3 linked regions of the Saccharomyces cerevisiae S288C genome follow. The protein of the gene in region 3 purifies or fractionates together with the protein of the main gene of each other region. This does not show direct contact. Each region holds a gene or a part of one and is shown on either strand. Other genes may lie near its edges.

The links.
Region 1: the proteins of ATG23 (region 3) and SDS24 purify together in Saccharomyces cerevisiae (affinity purification with mass spectrometry, with the first as the bait; one large-scale study listed by BioGRID). This does not show direct contact.
Region 2: the proteins of ATG23 (region 3) and YIP3 purify together in Saccharomyces cerevisiae (affinity purification with mass spectrometry, with the first as the bait; one large-scale study listed by BioGRID). This does not show direct contact.

The regions. Positions count from the first base shown.
Region 1 is NC_001134.8:649,527-653,286, forward strand, and holds SDS24 (Sds24p), read left to right. Parts: upstream 1-1,888; coding exon 1,889-3,472; downstream 3,473-3,760. Other genes in the region: NGR1 (Ngr1p), read left to right, coding at 1-378; bifunctional precorrin-2 dehydrogenase/sirohydrochlorin ferrochelatase MET8, read left to right, coding at 842-1,666. UniProt on the Saccharomyces cerevisiae protein: Involved in DNA replication and cell separation during budding.
Region 2 is NC_001146.8:543,227-546,434, reverse strand, and holds YIP3 (Yip3p), read right to left. Parts: upstream 1,168-3,208; coding exon 1,144-1,167; intron 1,065-1,143; coding exon 558-1,064; downstream 1-557. Other genes in the region: LAP2 (bifunctional aminopeptidase/epoxide hydrolase), read right to left, coding at 1,457-3,208.
Region 3 is NC_001144.5:999,944-1,003,703, reverse strand, and holds ATG23 (Atg23p), read left to right. Parts: upstream 1-2,000; coding exon 2,001-3,362; downstream 3,363-3,760. Other genes in the region: IMP dehydrogenase IMD3, read right to left, coding at 1-1,147; DNA/RNA helicase SEN1, read right to left, coding at 3,575-3,760. UniProt on the Saccharomyces cerevisiae protein: Required for cytoplasm to vacuole transport (Cvt) vesicle formation and efficient autophagy. Plays a role in ATG protein retrieval from the pre-autophagosomal structure (PAS) and is especially required for autophagy-dependent cycling of ATG9.

The sequences.
Region 1 (3,760 bases), on a different chromosome or scaffold from region 3:
CACCAATATTCAAGTCCCTCATACTCGCTCCATCCGACGGGCAACCAATTCTCCAATGCTACTAATAACTTACCTCAATTTGGGAACGCGATGTCAATTTCTATGCAACTGCCCAATGGCAACAGCAATAAAACGGCCTCAAGCATGAACACAAACCCTAACACAAACATGATCATGAATTCTAACATGAACATGAACATGAACGTAAATCCAGTACCATACGGAATGGGAAACGGTGCAAATATGTATGACGTGTCCAGGATGATGACTCCTCCCTTAAATATAGCCCCGAATTCCAATAATTCGAAATCGAGCATCATGAACAAGCATCCTAATAGGAACAATGTTCCGCCAATTCATCCTTCTCTTCTACATTGATTACAAAAGACAAAAAAAGAAAATTTTAATCTTGTCCGCAGTTTTATCTGCGTCTCTACGTTCTTACGTTTCTTCTATTAATGCCATTTCAGTTACAACCTAGTCAATTGTCGATCCATAATTCTAATCAAATTTGTTTTTCCTCTATACTACCTATCTATTTTTATCTATCTAAGTACATTTATTTACTCAAACAGTTCCGTTTCAAAGTGTTTTATATTAACTATATATGCGAAAAGCTGGCGTCATAATTTCACGTGTTATAATAGCCATGCTGACGGAAAAAAAATGTGAAAATCGCTACAAAGTCCGATGACTACGGGCAGTAGCATGTAAATGATGGACACACACACACACATATATATATATATACATTTACTTCAATAAAAGGCTGTGCCAGACATTTTTGCCATACATTGTTCATGAAGTGTGCAAAATAAGAGAGTGTATAATAGGATAAAAAATGGTCAAATCGCTACAGCTAGCCCATCAATTAAAAGACAAGAAAATACTACTAATCGGAGGCGGAGAAGTCGGCTTGACAAGGTTATATAAGCTGATACCTACAGGTTGCAAGCTGACTTTAGTATCTCCTGACCTACACAAATCCATTATTCCGAAGTTTGGAAAATTCATCCAGAACGAGGATCAGCCCGACTACAGAGAAGACGCTAAACGCTTTATCAATCCGAACTGGGACCCCACGAAGAATGAAATTTACGAGTACATCCGCAGTGACTTCAAAGACGAATACCTCGACCTAGAAGACGAGAACGACGCGTGGTACATAATAATGACCTGTATACCCGACCACCCTGAAAGCGCAAGAATATATCACCTTTGTAAGGAAAGATTCGGTAAGCAGCAGCTGGTCAATGTGGCGGACAAACCTGATCTCTGTGACTTTTATTTCGGCGCCAACCTGGAGATAGGAGACCGTCTACAGATTCTGATCTCTACCAACGGCCTTTCTCCGCGCTTTGGCGCTCTAGTAAGAGATGAGATCCGTAACTTATTCACACAAATGGGGGATCTGGCGCTGGAGGACGCTGTCGTCAAACTAGGTGAGCTGAGAAGAGGAATTAGGCTGCTGGCACCAGACGACAAGGATGTCAAGTACCGCATGGATTGGGCCAGACGCTGCACAGACCTCTTCGGCATTCAGCACTGCCACAACATCGACGTAAAACGTCTGCTGGATCTTTTCAAGGTCATGTTTCAAGAACAGAACTGTTCCTTGCAGTTCCCTCCCAGAGAACGGTTGCTTAGCGAGTACTGCTCGTCTTGAGCGACAGGGCCTCCTCTTTTAAGGGGCGCGTCCTTTCTATTGTGTAGAGAAAATCTACTGGGATTTTGTATATATTTCGCATATATAGGGGTTGGAGAACGAACAACAATGCCTGTTCAGATCAACTTTTCTTCTATCTTATCAGGCAAGATCAGGCACACAACCCAACTATAATAACTATAAACACTTATAGAACAATTACCGTTTCTTCCTTCACACAACATGGCTTCTACTTCGAACACGTTCCCTCCAAGCCAAAGCAATTCTTCCAACAACCTTCCAACTTCTAGACATGCATCCATTGTGGAGATGCTGTCTACTCCGCCATTGCTGCCCCACGTTCAAGTGAACGATACAGACGACAAGGAACAACCAGAAGAGTCCACGCCGCCAACAGCAACAGCGGCAGCGCCTGGTCCAGGTTGTGCTGCTACACCCGCCCCCTTGCGCGATGAAAAGCCTCAATTCAAACTATCAGCTGTTCCTATGACCCAGACGCCATCGCAGTGTCTGTCATGTGTGCACGCCCAAAAATGGCAACACATACCGTTGTCGCAATTGATCGAACAGAATAAGCTTATTTTTGTTCCAGGTTCCATATCGGTAGAGGAGGCATTCAACACTTTGATCAAGTATCATCTAAACTCTATTCCCGTGGAATCTTTCCCCGGCGACATGAACTGTTTTACTTTCGACTACAATGACCTTAATTCGTACCTTTTGCTGGTTTTGAATAAAATCACCGTCAGCAACAAACAGCTTACTGCAGATTGCCAGAATGGAAAACCCGTACCAGTGGGCGAAATGGTGAAACTAACTCCTAAGAATCCGTTCTATAAGCTGCCGGAGAATGAGAGTTTGTCCACGGTGATGGGGATTCTCGGTTCGGGTGTCCATCGTGTAGCGATAACAAACGAAGAGATGACCAAAGTTAAAGGTATTTTGTCCCAACGTCGTTTGATAAAGTATCTTTGGGACAACGCTAGATCTTTTACAAGCTTAGAACCTCTATTAAACTCCTCATTACAAGATTTGCACATCGGTGTTCTCAATATTCAATCTAAGCCAACTTCAAGACAATCCCGTGTCATCTCTATTCAAGGCGAGGAGCCCTTAATCATGGGCCTTTATAAAATGCATGTGGAAAGAATTTCTTCCATTGCAGTCATCGACAAACAAGGTAATTTGCTAGGTAACATATCGGTAACGGACGTAAAACATGTCACAAGAACCTCCCAATACCCCTTACTACATAAGACATGTCGCCATTTCATTTCTGTCATTTTAAACTCCAGAGGATTAGAAACGGGTAAAGATTCTTTCCCCATTTTTCACGTATACCCCAGTAGTTCACTAGCAAGGACTCTTGCCAAGTTAGTTGCTACAAAGTCTCATAGACTATGGATCGTACAACCGCCGGAGTCGTCAACCTCGGCGTCATCCACAAATTTAACAGCTGCTAATACTGCAGCCAATGCAGTTTCTGCCACCGCTCAATCGTCTGCTAATGGTGCGACTCCAATGTCAAAGTCATCCTCTTCAACATCCCTCAACTCCCACTCTCCGTTGATGACAGCAATGGAAGACCCACCATCCCCACGTTCTTCGGCCATCGCGATCCCACCACCAAGTCCCGCTTCCTCAACAAACACACCAAACCTATTCGAAAAGGAATATAGAACGGGTAAGTTGATCGGTGTGGTCTCATTGACAGACATCATCAACTTATTAGCAAGGAAACAAACAGGGAATAAAGAAGTGGATCCGCAATCCGCAAGAAGACAGAGAGGCAGTATCGCCATGTGAGGCTTGCAGCGTTGTCTTTTCCCGCTGTTTCCCTCTCCCTCAAAAAAAAAAATCTTTTACAATGACTAAAAGAAAATATTGTTCATTTATATGGTTTTAAGTATTTTGTAGACATTTAAGCGTATATACTTGTTCTGAAAACATTTATATATTCTATTTTGTATATTCAACTTATTAAACTCTGACTTTTGCTATTGTCGCGTATATGTATATCTTTTTTTCTTGTCGTGGAAAATTAAAGCAAAATATGTCAGGCGAATGTACACACAATGCAGAAACTGATGCGGT
Region 2 (3,208 bases), on a different chromosome or scaffold from region 3:
ATTTCATTTTGAAGTGTAGTAGAGGTCTTCTAATGAAAACTCGGCAGGGCCCTAAGCTCAAACTCTACCTCATCTACGTTGACCCTTTTTACCTTCTAGATGCCATCAGTTGTTAATAGTAGTAATGGAATACGATTTGCCAATCAATCTTACAATCGCATATAATTCGTCACTGTTGAATATCTGCGACGTACACCATCTAATCACTTCGCTTAGTCGATATAACCATTTGTTTGAAAAGATGAATTGATTCTAATCTTGCCTCTCTCGGGTTATGTTATTATTATTTTTACGTTTTGGCACGTGAATCTTCAGTAATTGATTGCACGCTTGATAAACGAAAAAAACATAAACAAATAAGGTAAGACTGCATTGTAAATCCTAGGAATGAGAAAGAACAGAGAAGCTAACTGCAATTATGAATGGTGTCTGTATACAATTAAATACTAATGTTGACGGAGAAAGAGAATAAAAGACAAGAATTAACTAAATATTGAAGAAGAGTAAAATACACAATAGAAAAGAATGACTCCTTTTCCCAACACTTGTAGGAGTGTTCAAACAGTTTCTTCATCAAATACAGTTTCGATGGGTTTTTCCATCAATGATGCATGTCCGAAAACGCTGACGGCAGAAGCACCGATCAACCATAGCAAAGTTGAGATTGGCGAAGCTAAGAAACCTATTGGCACAGCAACACAAACCAGTCCGGTGTATAGTTGGTTGGTCTTGAAAGAACCAAATGGAGTTACGAGCTCCTCACCCTTTAGTTTGTTTATACCAACAATACCAGCTACGACTAGAACAATAACAAAGAGTAGCAACAAGTTTGTTAATAATGTGTAAATGCTCAAACAACCAATAATCAAACCATAGTTACTGGAAAAGTACTTCAGGTTATACGCCACTCTGGATTGAACTTCCCCAAAGTTTTGAGGTTTGGAAATTTTCTTGAAATTGAAAAATTCTTGCGGGGTGCGAAGGGTTGCTAATTTAGATTGCAAGGATTGGAACTCGCTCTTAATATTTTCCATGGAGAAGTTTTGAGTGAAACGTGAAACTTGCTATAGAAATATAGAAAAAAGGTTAACGCGTTAGTATAGTTTTTCAATGATGCAAATGTGTTTACAATTTAGAACTTACGGCTAAAGCTCCTAACTGATTCATTATTGGAGTATTTGATGTTATTTTATGCGTATTTGACGGCTGATAGTTCCAAACTCAGTGTTCAAAGCCCTGCAATATTGAATTCAATCTGAATTCTTTCGATTTGTATTTATATTCGTTGTTATTATTTATTTTTTCTTTTTGCCTCGATTGCATGTGACAAAAGTGCAAAATTCGTATCGCACGACACAGAACTCCGCCACTAATTAGAACCAGAGAAGTAGCAATGAAGGCTCATTAGTAGGTTATATTTAATTGTTTACGTATTCATGTTACGACACGTCCCTTTTCAAAGACCTAAATCTTGTTTCACAAGAGCTTTACAGATTGGATGATACGTGTCCTTGAATTTGTCGAAAGTTGCAAGTGCCAATCGACGGTCTACAGAGTTTAATAGTCTGTAACCGGGACGGACAAACTTCATTCTACCTACAGTTCCCAACCAATCGGCCAAATGCTTATATTCTTCTTGCAGCTTGGCAAAGATCTGAAATTTGAACATCTTGAAAACAACTTCCGCGTTCTGTGATTTAACAATGTTATCTTGATAGATATCTAACAGTGCCCTAGATGCCACGGGAAACTTGGCCCAGTCAAAATCTTTTGGTTTCTTGTTGGAATGGCCATTTTGTGTCAAAGTTTCCAAGAACAAAACCAATTGATTTGAATTAAAATCCTTAATGTCAATAGCGTTAAATTCAGACCGGAAATCCTCTGTGGTTTTCAAATGTTGAGCCATTTCGACCCACTTGTCAGCCAATTGATAAACATTATCAGCCAAAGCCGTAATAAAATGAGGCCTTGGTGGCATACCTGGTTTATACAGCCAAGTTTCCCAGTCAACGGAATCCAAAATTTCTTTCTTTTCGGGATAGAACTCATACAAAGTATCCAAAAACTGGAAAGTATCCAATGATTTTTTGGCAAACTTCTTGAAATAGTGTCTAATAAATGGATCAAATTCAGCCTTACCACCCAAAATAGTTTCCAAGTGAAATAGTAAGTTGAACCCCTTTTCGTACGGAACAGTGGAAAAGGCATCGTCAGGGTCAGTGTTATCGTTCAAGTTTTGTACCAAAGTGGAAAATCTTTCAGGATCTTTCATAGAATCAATAGAATTCTGCAAATCGCTCCAACCAATCAGAGCACTGAAATGTCTAGTTGGTTCGCCATGAATGGCACCAATAATTCTTCTTTCTAAGTAAACGGTCCAACCTTCATTCAACCAAAAATGATTCCACGAACAATTGGTCACTAAGTTACCAGACCATGAGTGAGCAAGTTCATGGGCGATGACATCAATGTTGGATCTGTCATGTGCAATCAAGGTGGGCGTAGCAAAAGTCATATTCGGAGACTCCATACCGCCGTAAGGGTACGAATCGACGTTAACTAAGATATCATAAGTGCCCCACTCGTATTCAAAGATAATTTTCTCTGCAGTTTGAATGAATTTCTCTACATCGTTTTCAAATTCCCATTGACAATCTTTCAAACGAAATGGTTCAGTGTAAACTGTGGAACGAGGTCCAATTGGAGCGCTTGACAAATCACCGGAAGCAATACCGATCAGGTAGGCTGGGATAGGGACTTTCTGTTCAAATCTGTAAATATTAGTATCCTTGCTTGTATCTTCAATCCTGATGCCTGAAAAAACCACTGGTAGTGGGGACTCGATAGATGCAGTGAAAGTAGACTTCACAGAGGGAGTATCAAAGCAGGGGAACAAAGACCTCGCATGAATAGCTTCCAACTGTGAAAACACGTACGGTTTACCGCCCTTGGTTTGCTTGCTGTTCAACCATTGCAAAGCGGTGCACTTGTCAGTCGTACGAAATTGAATATTCAAGGTAAAGTTATCGTTGCAAGAAGCGTTATTGATGACTAACCTGGAGCCCAATGGCTCCTTTCTTTGCTCAATTTGAAAATCTGCCTTGGAACCATCAATATGAACCTCCTGGACATCCAAATAGGATGTATCCAGATGTAATTCATCCGATTTATTTTTACCTTCGTGCAGTTTTTTCAATTGGAATGTAAC
Region 3 (3,760 bases):
GAGCCAAAGCTTTGGTAATATGACCAATGTTTTGAACACCACCATCAGCCATACATGGAATACCGAATTGGTTAGCAAATTCACACACGTTGTAGACGGCTGTACCTTGTGGTCTACCACAGGCCATAACTTCTTGAGTGATACAAATAGAGCCTGAACCCATACCAATTCTTAAACCATCGGCACCGGCAGCAATCAAGTTAGCAGCTTGTTCTCTGGTGGCAACGTTACCAGCAATGATTTCCAAATCTGGGAAAGTTTCTTTAATCCATTTGATCATGTTCAATTGGAAAATAGAGTTACCTTGAGAGGAATCTAAGATAACAACATCCAAACCTGCTTCGACTAATAGTCTTAACCTTTCCTTATCAGCATCGATAGTACCGATAGCAGCACCACATAACAGTTGCTTGGTGGTGGCAGATTTAGAAGCCAATGGATAGTTCTGATTTTTCATTAAATCAGTTCTGGAAAGCATAGAAACTAAGTTACCATTGTCGTCAACAATCAATAGCTTACCCTTTTTAATCTTCTTTAAAATTTCATTACCTTCAGACAATGTAATACCTTGTGCACCGGTGACAGGGTTTTTGGTCATAACATCTTGAACAAGCAAAGAGTTGTCTTCAACGAACTGAATATCACGAGAAGTGACGATACCCATCAATTTTCCGTTTCTTTTACCATCTTCTGTAACGGGGAAACCGGAAAATCCAAATCTTTCCTTCATACTCTTAGCTTCACCCACAGTAGTAGTTGGGGAAATCACTATAGGGTTGTTAATAAACCCATTTTCATAGTTCTTGACTCTTCTGACCATGTCAGCTTGGTCCTCTGGGGTACAGTTGTGGTGAATAAAACCGATACCACCCAACAAAGCCATGAAGATGGCCATTTCTGATTCTGTCACGGTGTCCATTGGAGAGGAAACGAATGGGGTGTTCAAAGTGATATTCCTTGTCAACTTAGTTTGTAGGCTAACTTCAGAAGATGGGAAATCAACCAGACCTGGCAAAACCAAAAAGTCGTTATAAGTCAACCCACCTCTGGTCTTGGAGTCCATCAACTCCTGGACAGACAAACCATCTAGTCTTGGTAAGCTCTTGGCGAATTCCAAGGCAGTCTTGTAGTCTCTAACGGCGGCCATTGCTTTTACTACTTTCGGAGTTATTAATTGCACTGATAATATTTACTGCTGTTAACCTGTCGATGACTTCTTTTCCTTAGAATAAAAGTGAGACAGATGAGATGACGTGCTTTTCTGCGAGTTTAGAAAGTCTTTCTAAGTTAAGTTATATAGAAGCAAGAAAGAAAAGAAATAGAGTAAAAAAGAGAAAGTTCCCAGTACACTAGGTGAAAATGCACAAGCCCACGAAACTGGAGTAAACCTCCAAGGGTCCCAACACTCAAAAATCTTGTTGGATCTCGGAAGGGCAAATTATTCAACTATTTATACCTTTCTATTTCTTCTTTTTTTTTTTTTTTTTTTCAGTGAAAAATTTTTCATTTTTCGGAAAAAGAAACGTGTGCGGCTTTGAAGGCTAATATTTATGTAATTAACCAGAGTTAGAAATGAACACAATAGTGGTTAAAGAAGCCACTGGGTCACTGGAAAAAAGTACATCTTGTTAGCCATCAAGTAACAGGTTTATGTATTGGGAATTATGGTTTTTCAAGTTCCCTTGTCTCTTTTTTCCCGATATCCTAGCCCTAGGACAACTTGTAGGGTATCAGCGCATATGTTCAAAAAATTTAAGGGCGTAAGCTCTGGCGTTTAGGTGCGCAATTAACAAAAGGTATAGATAGTCTTTTTATAGTGTAAATCATATACAAATAATAGAACACAGAGAACGTCTGTATATATCTATTGGAGAACCGGCTAAGGAATGGAAAAGTGAAGGATAGAGTACGTTTTAGTTCAAGTGATTATTTTCGTTTTCTTGTTCCACATTTTAACCTCGTTGTTCTATAAGGTAACAAAATAAAGTGAAGAAGTAAATATGGAACTGAATCAGGTTTTAGAAAAAAAGGAGCAGATTCTGCAATACTTAGGCACTCTGGTCGGGCTTCACGAAAAAGCGTTGTCTGATGTAAATTCGGCTTCCCAGGTGACAAGCATCCGGAAGGATATCACTATTTGCTTAAACGATCTATGCAGAATTAATGATCTCTTAGTATCCCATGATGGTCTATTGAAAAGAGAAATTGGGTCCTTACTTCGAGACAAACAAGAGCTACTAGAACTGAACGAAAGAGAGCAGCTTCTTTGGAAAGAGCGGAAGTCGTGGCATATTAAGCAAGAAACCGATGCTGCGCCGGCGGACTATGTTATCGATAAGGACGCCATAATTACCATTTCATCGCACCACCGGACATCACTAAACAAATATATCGAGTCAGTGGGGGCAGAAAATACAATACTATCCAATACGGATGATTCGGATGCAATGATCGAGGAAGTACAGAACGCTGAATCTTCTGCGGATCAAATGATACGTAATTACAAACTGTTACAATTATCTCATAAGCAAGCTAAATCAGAAATAATAAGGCTGGAAACTTTATTAAGAGACTTCAAAAAGGACAATAAATTCATTGAAGAGGAGTTAAAAAGGCAATCTGGACGGATACGTTCCGAAATGGGTAATATTGATTTTCATTTGTCCAAGATAGAGGAATCTAAGCATCAATTAATGAAAAGAATAGGATTCGAGTCGCCCCTGACACAGGAAAAATCACTATCAGAAAAGATATTCAATTTAAGGCTGTCCAGCGCGGATGAAGATTACAATGAGAGACAAACTATCAACATGAAAAATTTTGTTCATATGAAGGATCTCATAGAACTGAAAATTGAAGATCTACAAGAGCAACTAATGAGAAATAAAAATGAGTCTTCTACAGTACTAACGCAACGTGAATTATGGCTAGATTGTCAAAAAAAAGTAGGAGATTTGGAAAGCAAATTAATAACCAAACTTCGGAGCAGCAGCAACTCCAAAATACCTCCAAATGAAATGTCAGAAATGATCAATTCTACAATACAGTACCTAAATAACCTTCTTGACTCTTCTGATGAAAAGCTCACGACAACTTTAATATCAAACGAAAGGGACGTACTTTCGAAAGCTTGTGAAGAACTCCATAGCGAAAGTACCACTGCACAAGATGGGTCAAGCGCACTACCTTCTAAACCAATTGATATACACAAAAGCCATAAAGGGTCGAACGCGAGTTCAAATTTAAAACAGCCCTCGACTCCCTCATTCTTGGTTGCTAGCAAATCGCCACCAAAGATTGGCATTTCTGAAAGTGTAGTAAACGCTAATAAAAATGATGCCATATCAAAAAAAGTTGAATGAAATGCAAATAGCTAGAGTAGCCATGAGGATAATGTAAATTTAAACATTGTATGCCCACGTAATAGTCAAACTCTTTCACGTCAAATTGAAAAAAAATGTTCTTTTTGCTGAAATAATGAAAAATAATGAAAAATAATGTTGCTATTAAATTCAATATAAATGTATACACCAATATATATGCAGGTATAATTCCTAACACTTTTACTTCAAGATCATGATCTAGGCTTTCTTTTTTTTGGGATAAATGGGCTAGATGAAGCATTCCGTCTCGAACTGTTGCGTGTGCCTGTGGGCCCACTACCAGGTCCTTTGAATGCTGAAGATTGTGGTTGCGGATGGGGGTTTAAATCATATGGATCTTCTGCCTCAGCAGGATAGCTGTCTTGCGGATGGGCGGG